Linked DNA regions of Rattus norvegicus. The protein of the gene in region 2 interacts with the protein of the main gene of each other region in a pairwise test. Links are inferred from orthologs where the notes say so. Each region holds a gene or a part of one and is shown on either strand. Other genes may lie near its edges.

Region 1 (3,533 bases), on a different chromosome or scaffold from region 2:
CACAGATTCCCTGAGGCTCACTGGTTGGCCAAATAGCCTATCTCTGGGTGAGATCCAAGCAAGTGAGAAGACACCTCCAACCTCCTCTCTTTTTCAGAACTCTGGGCTGAACCTACAGCTTTGTGCTTGCTAAGCAAGTGCTCTACCACTGAGCTAGACACCAACCACAAGAAGACCCTCTCCCCCCAACCCCAAAAAGGCTGTATAGCACCTCTGGCAGGCAACCCCATACTACACACATTTATGTATGTATACATACACAACAATCCGACGAAATAATCATGAACAAACCAAGACCTTTTGTGCAGCTTCCAAACTCTTTGGAGTGACCTGAACAAGGAACTTTATGAAGATCTATGTGCTTTATGGAGAAACCGGGCCATTGTTTTAAAGCTTCTCTACCTTCTGGGCTAGCCTGTTCTTTCAAACAGGCCAAGACCTATACTCCTATATTTCAAGGACACTTAGCTTTAATAAAAATAAAATGTCGAAACCCAAATAAAAACCTTACTTTCTTGTTTAATTTGTTTTGCCAAACACAGTGAAAACTTCAGTCTAATTGTACAGAAAATAGAATTTGTAACCAGTAGCAAACATAACGAGATAAACCTAAGTCCCTGGTCAGCTGGATCTCCATCAGCAAGTCACCCAGAGTCCTCTGATAAATGACCTTCTGGGTAGAGAGGTCCTAACAGGCAGAGGCGCAGATCAACTAGTCTCCATCAGAATCACAGGCTGCACCTGAAACGGGTAGCATGAAAAGGAGAAATGATGTTACTGAGATCTCTTATTACTACACACAGCAAAGCTGTCTTCAATTGCTGGCCAACCTTAAGATGTGGGCTTTCTCAAACCCACAGTCCCTAAGAGTCCCATTTGCACCCCTCCAGGGTAAGTTTCAAGTTCAATGGTTCTGAAGCCTTTGTATAACCAGAATCTGCAACATAAATTGGGGAGTGAGAGACAAAGTCATAACTGCTGGTGTCACCAGATTCTGAAGTCCCCAACTCCTACTTCAGGAGGAAACGAAAGAGGGTGCCAATTGACCAGCTTAAGTCCCACTGTCCTAAACCTCAGCACTGTCAACCAGAATATTGGGGAGTTCAACATCTGCCTGAGGATTCCTTGGGCTGGAAGGAGTCACGAATTCTGCAGGTTTCTGGGAGGAACCATTCACATTCCGTGCTTCTTACGGATGACAGCCATGGCAAGCAGGCGATCCTTCTCTCGAAGTTCTTCACGGAGCTTGGCCTCGGTAAGACGCAGATGGCGGATGCTACCCTTCATCTCTTTCATCTTCACTTCCATCAGGGCCAAGATGTCCCGCTGCTCATTCAGCTTGCGCAGGAGCTCCTCCTCCGTGGTACCGGACGACAAAGAGTATGAGTGGTCGGAGCCAGTATCAGGGAAGCCCTCTTCCCCTACTACCACCAGCTGAGGGCCCAGAGTGCACTCAGCGGCCTCCAGCCCAGCTGTAGCAGCCTCTAGCTCTGATGCGGCGGCAGCGGCGGCTGCCCCTTCAGCAGCTGCAAACTCTACTTGCACTGTAAGGTCGATGGGCTTCACATCATCTCCCGAGGAAGTAGTGGGCGCTGGAACCACGGTTCCAGGAGCCTGGCTGCTGTCTACGGCGGCCTGAAGAGTAAGAAGCACGGCCGCAGAGGCAGACACCAGATTCGGCTGCAACTGGGCAGTCTGGGCAGTGGAGGAGGACGGAGACTGCTGCTGCTGCTGTTGCTGCTGTTGCTGCTGCTGCTGCTGTTGTTGTTGTTGCTGCTGCTGCTGCTGCTGCCTACGGCGGGCTGCCGCAGCTCCCGCAGGTCTCCGAGCTACTTTGCGCTCATTGACGCCACGCAGCGGGAAAATGGTGGGAACGCGCACCGTGTAGGTCTTGCGGCCGCCCTGGAAGTGAACGCTGCAGAGACGGTGGCCCGTGGTGGGCTGGAAGGTGGAGAAGCACCCACTGACGCCAGCACGGGACACGTTCTTGAGCCAGAGGCGCCGCAGTTCAGCGTCCTTGGGAAACGTGTAGAAGTGCAGCGCCTTGTCTCGGTGTGAGTTGTTGTAGCAGCCCGGTACGCAGCACGTAAAGCCAGGCATGGCTGCGACGCGCGGCCCGGCCCACCGGCCTCTTGAGCTCTTCGACGGCCGGGTCTGGCCCCCACTTCAGCTCCTCGACGGGCGGTGCCGCGCGAGGCTCTTAGAGGTCTCTCACTATTGCCGCCCGGCGCAGTCCTCCCGAGCGGAGGCCCCGTGCCCAGAATATGCTTGCGGACCGCCCGCGCCGCGCTACCCACCCGGCAGCCCGCCTGCGCTTCGGAGTCGGCCCGGGGGACGCCGCGAAGGACCGCCTGGAAAGGAGGACTACGCCCCCCACAATGCACCGCGCCAGAAGCCGCTCACTTCCGGGATGGGGCGGGCTTATTCCGGCTGCTTTCCCGGGCACCGCGATATCCTGTTCAGAGTCGATTATTTTCCAGATAAAGCTCGTCCAAGGCGAAGGGGGGGAAGTGTATTCGAATGGAACGTTGTCGCACGGACTACCCCTCACAAGGACCCGGAATCCTGATGGTACGGGGCGCGTGCCTCGTGAGCGCAAGCGCTCTGTGTCTAACACACAAAGACTACAAGTTCCATGCTGCATCAGAAGAACGTTTTGGTGCGGCCGCGGACTGCAGCGCCGCCTAAAGGAGAGGTGGAGTTCCTGCAGGCCAGGATTTGAGTGAGGTTCTATAGCTTGCTCTAAAAATCCCCCCAAACTCCACAGTGCATTCATTAGCCTGGAGGAAGCCCAAGTCAGCCCAGAAGAACTTCTGGAGTCACTTTCTTATATTGGGAGCAGTCTCCCGACTCTCAACTACCTCTAACTTGGACTCACTGACCTAAACCAGGTCCCTACTAGCTGCTTACTATGTGCCAAACAGTGAAGGGGAAAACACGTTCAAGGTAATTTTGAGCAGTCAGGTCCTCCCCAGCGCTCTCTCTCCTGGAGACTAATTAGAGTGTCTTATGGATAAAAGATGAGTAAGCGCCAATAGATGTCTAATCAATAAAGGCCACAAAGGAATCAGCTGGACAAAGAAGACAATGACGAAGGGAGGCATGAGTAGATAGGCCAATAAGAAACTTGGAAGTGGACAGATACCTGCCGCCTCGCCTGGGAAACCTAAGTAGCTAGAGCTAGAAGTGACTTGATGGCACTTCAGAATCATCGGGCTGTTTCATGGAACTTCCACTGAAGCGGTACGGAAATGGAGACTGAAATGAAGACTCCAGCTGTGTTGATTGGATTTGAAGCCTCTTTGGTTCCTTTAAAAAAGCAATCCATAGGGGTTGGGGATTTAGCTCAGTGGTAGAGCACTTGCCTAGCAAGCGCAAGGCCCTGGGTTCGGTCCCCAGCTCCGAAAAAAAGAAAAAAAGAAAAAAAAAAAAAAAGAAAAAAAAAAAAAAAGAAAGCAATCCATAGTTTCTGGTTCCTGGCCTAAGCTTGATTCTATATGTTTGTCCTCCTCCCAGACTCCTTCAGATTTTGA
Region 2 (4,261 bases):
TCCAGTGGCAACTGGGGTCCTTGTCCGGGCACAAAGAGAAGAAGGGGGCAGTGGTGTGGGAGACCTCTTTAATATGACACTCAATCTGGGTGGAGGGGAGAGAGACCAGGAGCTGGGAAGGCAGACAAGTGGGTGAACTGTAGGACTGCACCTGACTCCAGGAAGAGTGATGGGCAGTGAGTGGGGACTGGTCCAGGCTGGTAGACCCACCAGGGGATCTGGAGGCCAGTACCTGAGATGGTGTCTAAGCCAAGTAGTATCTAGCCAGGCCAGAACATGGCCTAGAGAGGTAAGGGTGGGGCCTGGTTGGGGGCTCCCGGCACCTAGGGGCTGGCATCACCAGGGGCCTCCCCAAGCTGTTGCTGGAATTCCAGGCGTGTCTGCCGATTGGACTCCAGCAGCTCCTGGAGGCGGGCATGGAGGTGGTCGTTCTTCTCCTCCAGGTGGTCCAGACAAGAGTTGATCTGATCCAACATGGAGTTGATGGCAGCATACTCTGGGAGGAAGGGAAAAGATAGAGAGAAGGTCTTGTGTCTCCTTAGAGCTGACAGATACAGCTCAAAGCCTTCTGCTCCTCTCACCTGCCTTGTCCGATTCAGGCCCTTTGAATAGACCGGTGACCTGCCTAGAAGGCACTGGGTGGCACCCTTGTCATTCCCTCTGGGATGACCACCGCTTATTTCAATTTAGCTGTCACCAAGGGGAGGCTCCCTGGGTCCGGTACTACATCAGACTCTGTCCTGGTTCTCCAGCCTCCCCCTCTCCACAGCAACCCTTCAGAAATGACTGCTGTAGTGTGCTGGTCTGAGCTCACCCTCTGCTCACACTCAACTATCAAGCTCTAGGGGAGGTGACGGGTCTTGTGTTCTCTATCTCCCCAGTGCCCTCGATGACACAAATAAGCACTGAATGAATGAATGAGTGAATGCATGAATGAATGAAGCTCTGGCTTTCCAGTCCCTGCTTTTGCTTAACTGTCTACCATCTACTTCATCAGCCACAACAATCCTTCAAGGACCTACTCAAAATACCTCCTCCTCCATGTCTTCCCTCCTCTGAGAAGTCTTCCTGTCTCCGTCCTCTACAGCTTCTTTGACCTGCCTCTTAGCAATGTTGTGTCTCCTTAGGATCCAAGGTCTGGGTCCGTGCCCACTGCGGGACCCACTTCCGAGCCAGCCCATGACTCAGAAACACCCAGCTGCCAACTTGGGAACAAAGGGAAGGAGCTGGTGGTTTTAAGGAAGAGGCCAGGGAGGGCGACTGGAGCATGAGTGTGTATGTGCTGCCTCTCAGGGACAGTTCCCATGACCCACAGAGGGCATCCTTCACACAGCCTAGAGCCTCTCAAGCTGCTAGTCCATCTTCATTCCATCTGGTGACAGGGTCAAAACTCAGACCTAGGGTCAGAGACCCTTACATGAGTCCCAGGTCTGCTCTAGCCCAGCACTCCTTATTAGAGTGGGGTAGGGGACTCTGCAATTGCAGTACACTGAGAGCTCAGTCGGGGTCAGGCCACACCAAGCACTTAATGGGTAGCTAGCTGTTCCCATCCATCCTGGCAGGCCAGCAGAAGGGCTAGGAGAGGTGATGTCTGCAGGCTCCACCTACGTCCTGGGTACTTCCTAGCCCTTGCTCCAGTCCTGGGACAGCCTCTTCCCCACCCCAATGTCATTCAATTATGCCACCACCTCACCTAGTCCCCTCATGATGCTCACTGTGGCTGCCAGCAGTCACTATTGTCCAACAGTGCCCACTATGCCTCCAAATGGACGACAACCTCTATTAAGGGCAGAACCCAGGTGACAAAAATATTCTGAACCTGTTGTGACAAGGACTATGCTGTGAATATATGAAACTGCAGAACTGTACAGTTTAAATGGTACAATCTAGTGTGTTACCTACAGCTTAATAAAGTTTTTATAAGAAAACAAAAGCATACCCCATCCTTATTGCACAGTAATCAAGTCCTGCCCTCTAGGTAAGGCACCAGACTTGACAACACTCAAAACAAACAAACAAGAACCGGCTTTCAGAAGGAACTTGTACTCTGGAATCTTAGAAGCTAACCATTTCTATCCCATTTTCCCTTAAATTCTGACACACTTCAATACAGAAGACACCAATGTGCCCAATATTGCAGATGGGAAAACTGAGGTTCCCAAACGTGCAAAAGCTGTCTGTGGGCCGATGCGTCCCCTGAGGTCCTTGGGCAGTGTTGTGCACCCAAGCACAGTACTCAGTAAGGAGGTCACCAGCAAAGCCAGATGGCTGGGGTGCTGACTCAGCATAGTGGGGAGCCCACCCGGCCAACACCTGCAGAGCCATGCATGACCGCCCCCTCTTAGCGAGGAAAGTGGCTGAAGCAAATCCCAAACTGACAAGGTGCTCTGAAGCTGCCTCAGTTTCAGACACCAGGGTTGGTTAGCGACAGTTCTCCAGTACTGCAGCGCTCAGGGATCTGTTTGCTATTGCTCGCCATCGCCTCCGAGGTGGCTGTGGGGACAACTCCAGAGCCCAACTCCTCAGGCCCTCCCACGCCCCCCGTCCCCGCCCGATTCCAGATCTTAAGGCCAGTACTCCCCGCAGAGTAAAGGTCGCCTTAGCAACAACCCCTCTCCTCCCAGGTCACCTGCTTCCCCGAAGCTGTCATTCTCGCCTTCCGTGCCCGCATCCACCGGCATGCCTAGGTCCCCGTTGGGGCCCGACATTGCGGGCTCGGGCGCCGCAGAGGCCACGCGAAGATGGAACTCGGCGATCGTCGCGCGGAAAGCCGGCGCTGGGCGGAAGGTGCAAGCAGCTGATGGAACACCGGGCCGGAAGAGTGGAACGCAGCAGCGCACTCAGGCCGCCCTGAGCCCCGCCCAAAGCCCAGCCCCTAGGCCTCCGCGCTACCACGCCCTTTGAGCTCCGCCCCCTCCCTGCTTCGGCGCTCTATCACGCCCACAAACATGGCTCCGCCCCGTCCGCTCTCAGGCTCCTCCTTCTCTGGCTTCTGAGCCCCGCCCCTCTCCAGGCCGCAGTGACCCGCGGTCAGCGGAGCCCGAGGACGTACAGAAGGTCAGGCAGTAGAGACCTTAGCCCCCTAGAGCTTGGGATATGTACGAGACTCCATCCTGCTGCTTCCTTCTCTCTGCATGGTCGGAATCAGAACTTCTCCTCCCCAGTCACCAGGAATCTGCCATCTTCCCACCTCCCCCTGGTGCTGCCGAGATGACCCACAACCCCTGTCCTATCTTGGCCAATCTTGGCCTCATCTCTTCTCTTAGGGTTCTCAAAGGCTACACTTTCGGGTGAGATCAGATTCCATACCAGGACAGTAGACGTAAATAAAGCCAATCTGTTTGATTCACGCCAATAAATATGACATGGGTTGGGAAGGAGCGTGAAGGGTTGTGTGTCTGGTTCCCAGTACAGAAAAGACTTGGTGTGCTCTGTAGGTGCGCCTGGGGTCTGTGGAAGGTCTGTGTGCTAAGTATCCTTGCTTGTGGCAGTCCATCACGGAAGACTTCATGATAAAGACCTCCAGCATTCACGTTCCCCCATGCCATGCACACTGGGAAGGGAAAAGAGACCTACACGGGGCTGGAGAGATGGCTCAGAGGTTAAGAGCACTGTCTGCTCTTCCAGAGGCCCTGAGTTCAATTCCCAGCAACCCATTGTGGCTCACAACCATCTGTAATGAGATCTGGTTCTCTTCTGGCATGCAGGCGTACATGCAGGCAGAAAGCTGTATGACCTATACATAATAAATAAATAAATAAATATTTTTAAAAAAGAGAGAGGGGGCTGGGGATTTAGCTCAGTGGTAGAGCGCTTACCTAGGAAGCGCAAGGCCTTGGGTTCGGTCCCCAGCTCCGAAAAAAAAAAGAACCAAAAAAAAAAAAAAAGAGAGAGAGAGAGACCTACACAAAGTCAACATCCAGAACCACTTGTGGATGGGACCCAGAAGAGTAATCGGGATCCAGCTCAGGGTCAGGGTAGTGTCTCAGGAACACTCACTTACCAGGACTCCTAGAGCTGTAATGGCCAGGTGACACCCCCCCCCCCCCCCCCGTGGCATCATGTCACGGTGGCTATTCCAGAGTGCAGGCTGTTCTCAGCACAGAGGCTTCAGTAAAGCTGGGAGAGGAAGGGAAGTGGATTCTTCCTCAAACCCCAGAGGAAGCACAACCCCGTGGACACCAGGAAATTAATGCAAGGGTGGGCTTAGGAGCTAGAAGAGAGTGCATGCTAATTGTAGCAATGTGTTGCTACAATGCGG
Region 3 (3,967 bases), on a different chromosome or scaffold from region 2:
GTAAACTCTTGAGCACAAAGCCTTGTATTTTCCATCCCAGCAGTAGGAAAATTTGAAAATAATTTTAAATATTTTAATTAATAACAATTACAAGGAAATTCAAAAGCAAGAAAATACAAAAGGATATACCTCCAGTTCATTTTCCAGTTTCATTACTTTTGTCTTTAATTGATTTTCTATTAAAAAAAAACAACAACAAATGTTTCAATTGGTTAAATTTCCTGTAGTCAGACAGATGCTAAGTAAACTTCAATAAAATAGTACAATTCTCTGTAAAAGATTCCATCCTCTTATCAGATAATGTAAAGGAAAGTAATTATCATATACTAAATGCATAAACTATGCATTGTAGAAATGCCTCGATGTAGAGGGCAGAGGAAGACTTGAGTGCGTGAGGTCCTGAGTCAACGTGTACCTGCTGACACGGGCAAAGCCATGTCAGTAACTCAAAGTCTCAGGCCTATGGCAAATGGCAAAGCCTTCCCTCTGAGTCTGAGTGTGGATGTTGACAGAATCTGTAGAAAATATCCACCAGAGTTTGCTCCCTCTCATGGCTTTGACTCCGCTACAGAGACTACTCCTACTCAGATTAGCGAGCTCTGCCTCCCTGTTCAACTGTCTGCCAGCAATCCTGTCGCCTTGTTTATCTGTATGCCGTCACCTGACTTAATGTTCGGCCCTGCAACAACTCCACTACTCTGTTCAAGTGGATCGAATAAAGACACTGAGCTTCTGGGGTGTGGCAGCTTCTCCGTCAGTGAGCCCAGTGCGACCGAATCCAACTGTTCTGTGTGTCTGTGTTTTCTCTTCTTCAGCCCCTACCTCAGCACTCAGGTCAGTCCCTGGAACTGGGCAAGGATGTAGCCTCTTCCAATATGAATTGAATGCACACTTTATAGAATCTGATAAACTTCCAACCATCTAATAAATAGAACCACAGTAGTTTGGTTTTTTTTTTTGTCCTAGACGTTTACCAAATTTTGCTTGTTCTTCCCCAGCCTTTTCAACTTCTTCCAAGGCCAGCTCCACTTCTTGAGCTTTCATCTGAACATTAAAACAAGAGGGGGGGATCCGGGGTTATTTACGCTGCAATATAAACAGTGGAAATCGAAATGGTGTGAAATTCGCTATCTCAGTCTTTAGTGTGTGCAGTGACGGGCGCAGAGAGTCAGTCAGTAAGTAGTTGTTAACTAAATACTTAAGGCTAGAAATTCTAGAGGGGCAAGACTTTGAACCTGATTTTTCTGTTAAGTATATCCACTATTCTCAATGTTTTCATTATCTTTTTCTATCCCAATTGTTATTATTAATAAATGTATTAATCTCTTCTTATAATTGGAGCTAATCAGCTCTAATCCCTTCCATCTATACAATACATTTAATTTTCCTTCATAAGCATATTTCTATATTGGCCAACTATGATTCAAAAATCCTTTATTCGTTTCTAAAGTGCTAAGAGCCAAAATATGCCCTCAAATCCTTGGACAGTATACCCTAAACTACCAACCCAAAATCTGTTTAGACCCTACAAATTTTCTATGTGCTTTTACCTTAACGGAACGAATTAATACATATTCTTTCTCAGTATTTATTTATAAAGAATCTAGAATCCTGTCATTTCACAATTAGCTTTTAGGGGAAAGGTTTTGCATTTTATTTGACCCCCTGGTTATATTTCTTTATGTTACTCTTAAAAAAAGTTTCTTTTCCTACACACTCTTTCCCACAAACCTTCATTAGTGACTGAGTAATTCTGAACAGATGTATCATGTTTTCTTGATCTTCATTTTTTAGTTCATTTACTTCCACCTAAGGAAACAAACACACAAAATACATGGACTATTTCATACCCTGTGCATAAAATACAATCACTCTTCCGCTTATAGCGTTCAATTACTTGAAGAAGCAATTTCTATTCGTGACATTGTACCTCAGGATCTGTGTACAAATCATGTATTAAGTACCTTGGATAAGGATATCAATAATTTATCTGCCAACTCTTCTTGACGTGGCAGTTCATCTGGATCAACTTTGATTAATTCTTTCCATTTTATATTAGGTGGCATCTTGAATTCTTTCACTGCCTCTCAGTTCCTACAACAAAGCAGATGGATTTCAGCATTTTCAGGGAAGATGGCATTTGCAGTGTTTACATGATCATGATCGTTCTAACTTAACTCCCTAGGTGCTGGCTGAGAGCTATGGCTCCTGAACCGAAAAACAGATGCATAGGCAAACAGCCAAGATGAGAATTAGTTCACCTGTCACAGACTATACGATCATACACATGCTAAATTATTATTTCTTTGCTAAAACAAAATCGGAGCTAAAACCCCGAGTCCCCTTTTCCAAGTCCCTTATCATCAATGATGGTACCAACTCTCAAGATATTTGGAAGTTTTTGAATACCTCCTCCGATTCTGAGGACAGGGGACGAGAGGATTTTTAAAGTGGATAAATAAAGACTGAGCTAAATGAAGTGTGCGCGGAACCAAGCTCAAACACGGAGGCAGAGGCACTGCGGAAAAGAGCGATAGAAGGACTGGGTAGGTAGGCTGCACGCTGTCCCCCAGGATTATGAACCTGTGACCGACACTAAGCTGCTCCGGCTCACGAGAATCCACCCACCTAAACCAAGACGGGCAAAACAGCAGCAGTCACTCATCTACAGCGATCACGTCCGGGTTCGGCCACCGCCTGGGCCTCTCGCTTCCAATAGCTGTCCTCGCGCACTCAAGCTGCTCCCGCCAACTCTTCCCAAACAAGCCGAAGCGGCGCCGGCTGCTAGGCGACACCACTCCCCGCCCAGCCAGCCAAGGCCGGAACTAGGCCCCGGATACCAGGGAAGACTACATTTCACGACTGGGGGAAAAGCTTTACGGCTATGTTTCCCCCTCCAAGACCTTTTTTCACTGTGGATGAGGGAAAGCCGTGAGAAGAGGACTCTACGTCCCAGAGTGCAGTTCGGCGCTGCGGCTGTGCATACTGGGATTAGAAGTTTTGGGAAGAGCAGCGCGTTCCCGGCGTGCAATGCGAGAGGCTGCGGCCGCCCTGGAAGAGCTGGGGAAGGATCGGGAGGCGGGAGGAGCGGCTGCTAAGGTGCGGCCGCCCAGGAGCCGGAGCGTGGCGGACTATGACAGTGTTTTCTGCAGAGTCCTTCTCCGGTCCACCGTCTCCGAAGCTTTCCTGAACCATCTCTTGGCGGAGCCGCCCTCAGGTGAGGTCGGGGCGGGTCACTCAGCGGCCGGGAGGAGCTCAGGGAACATTTGCGTTTTAGGGAAGCTCTGTTTTGGGGCTGCTGGAGCGCCGGCGGATCTTACAGAGGTGAGAAAGTCTTCCAGCTACTCAGGTGTATGCTGGGGGCTCCCAGTTAGTGGCTTCCGTAAGAAGGGAGTGAATAAAAGTTTCCAGCTTCCCTAAGTGTCTGGGAAAGTGGAGCGCCCCCACCCCCACCCCCTGAGTTCATGCTCTGGTTGAGTGGAGGAGCATCAGGATGGACAGCCTCCTGCTGCAGCTTGCTTATTAGGTTAAGAAGTGTGAAGTGAAGGCCGAAGAAAGGGGAGGCTTAGTGCGTGACCAGCCCTGCTGGAGGGAGGAAGAAGGGCCATGCCAAGCTCTGGCATTTTGCTGTCATTTGCTGGGTACCAAGGGGGGTTCTTGGGTGAAAGCACCTTCTCGGATGTTTGCCTTCTTACTCTAGGAACTTTTTCCAATTCCACAGTCATTCTACACCAGCAGGTAACATTAGGAGCTGTAAACTTCTGTTTGAAACAGTGTGTCTCATATGTGCTTATGTATGTATAAATGGGTATATAGAGTAATTGTATGTATCATACATAATAGATAATAAGTAATTAAAAGAAAAATGTAGACAGTTAAAATTTGCTTTTGAAAAGATTTCTGTGGTTGTGAAAAACAAATAGCGCAAAAAAAAATGATATTTGAAACAAATTTTAAAGACATCATC

What was found. The genes of interacting proteins can lie anywhere in the genome.
Region 1: the proteins of Bbln (region 2) and Thap11 interact in a two-hybrid assay, tested with the Homo sapiens proteins (2 studies listed by BioGRID and IntAct). The link is inferred for Rattus norvegicus from reciprocal best matches to the Homo sapiens genes BBLN and THAP11.
Region 3: the proteins of Bbln (region 2) and Cep290 interact in binary tests that used the Homo sapiens proteins (3 or more experiments, as listed by UniProt). The two-hybrid records come from large-scale screens. The link is inferred for Rattus norvegicus from reciprocal best matches to the Homo sapiens genes BBLN and CEP290.

What each region holds. Positions count from the first base shown.
Region 1 is NC_086037.1:50,655,624-50,659,156, reverse strand, and holds Thap11 (THAP domain-containing protein 11), read right to left. Parts: upstream 2,319-3,533; 5' UTR 2,101-2,318; coding exon 1,174-2,100; 3' UTR 501-1,173; downstream 1-500. UniProt on the Homo sapiens protein: Transcription factor, which has both transcriptional activation and repression activities. Also modulates chromatin accessibility.
Region 2 is NC_086021.1:36,072,271-36,076,531, forward strand, and holds Bbln (bublin coiled-coil protein), read right to left. Parts: upstream 2,801-4,261; 5' UTR 2,709-2,800; coding exon 2,630-2,708; intron 497-2,629; coding exon 324-496; 3' UTR 55-323; downstream 1-54. UniProt on the Homo sapiens protein: Essential for intermediate filament organization in intestinal cells, interacts with intermediate filament and regulates intestinal lumen morphology.
Region 3 is NC_086025.1:37,195,616-37,199,582, reverse strand, and holds the start of Cep290 (centrosomal protein of 290 kDa), read right to left. Parts: upstream 2,801-3,967; 5' UTR 2,629-2,800; intron 2,095-2,628; 5' UTR 2,067-2,094; coding exon 1,965-2,066; intron 1,810-1,964; coding exon 1,732-1,809; intron 1,045-1,731; coding exon 975-1,044; intron 177-974; coding exon 130-176; intron 1-129. UniProt on the Homo sapiens protein: Involved in early and late steps in cilia formation. Its association with CCP110 is required for inhibition of primary cilia formation by CCP110.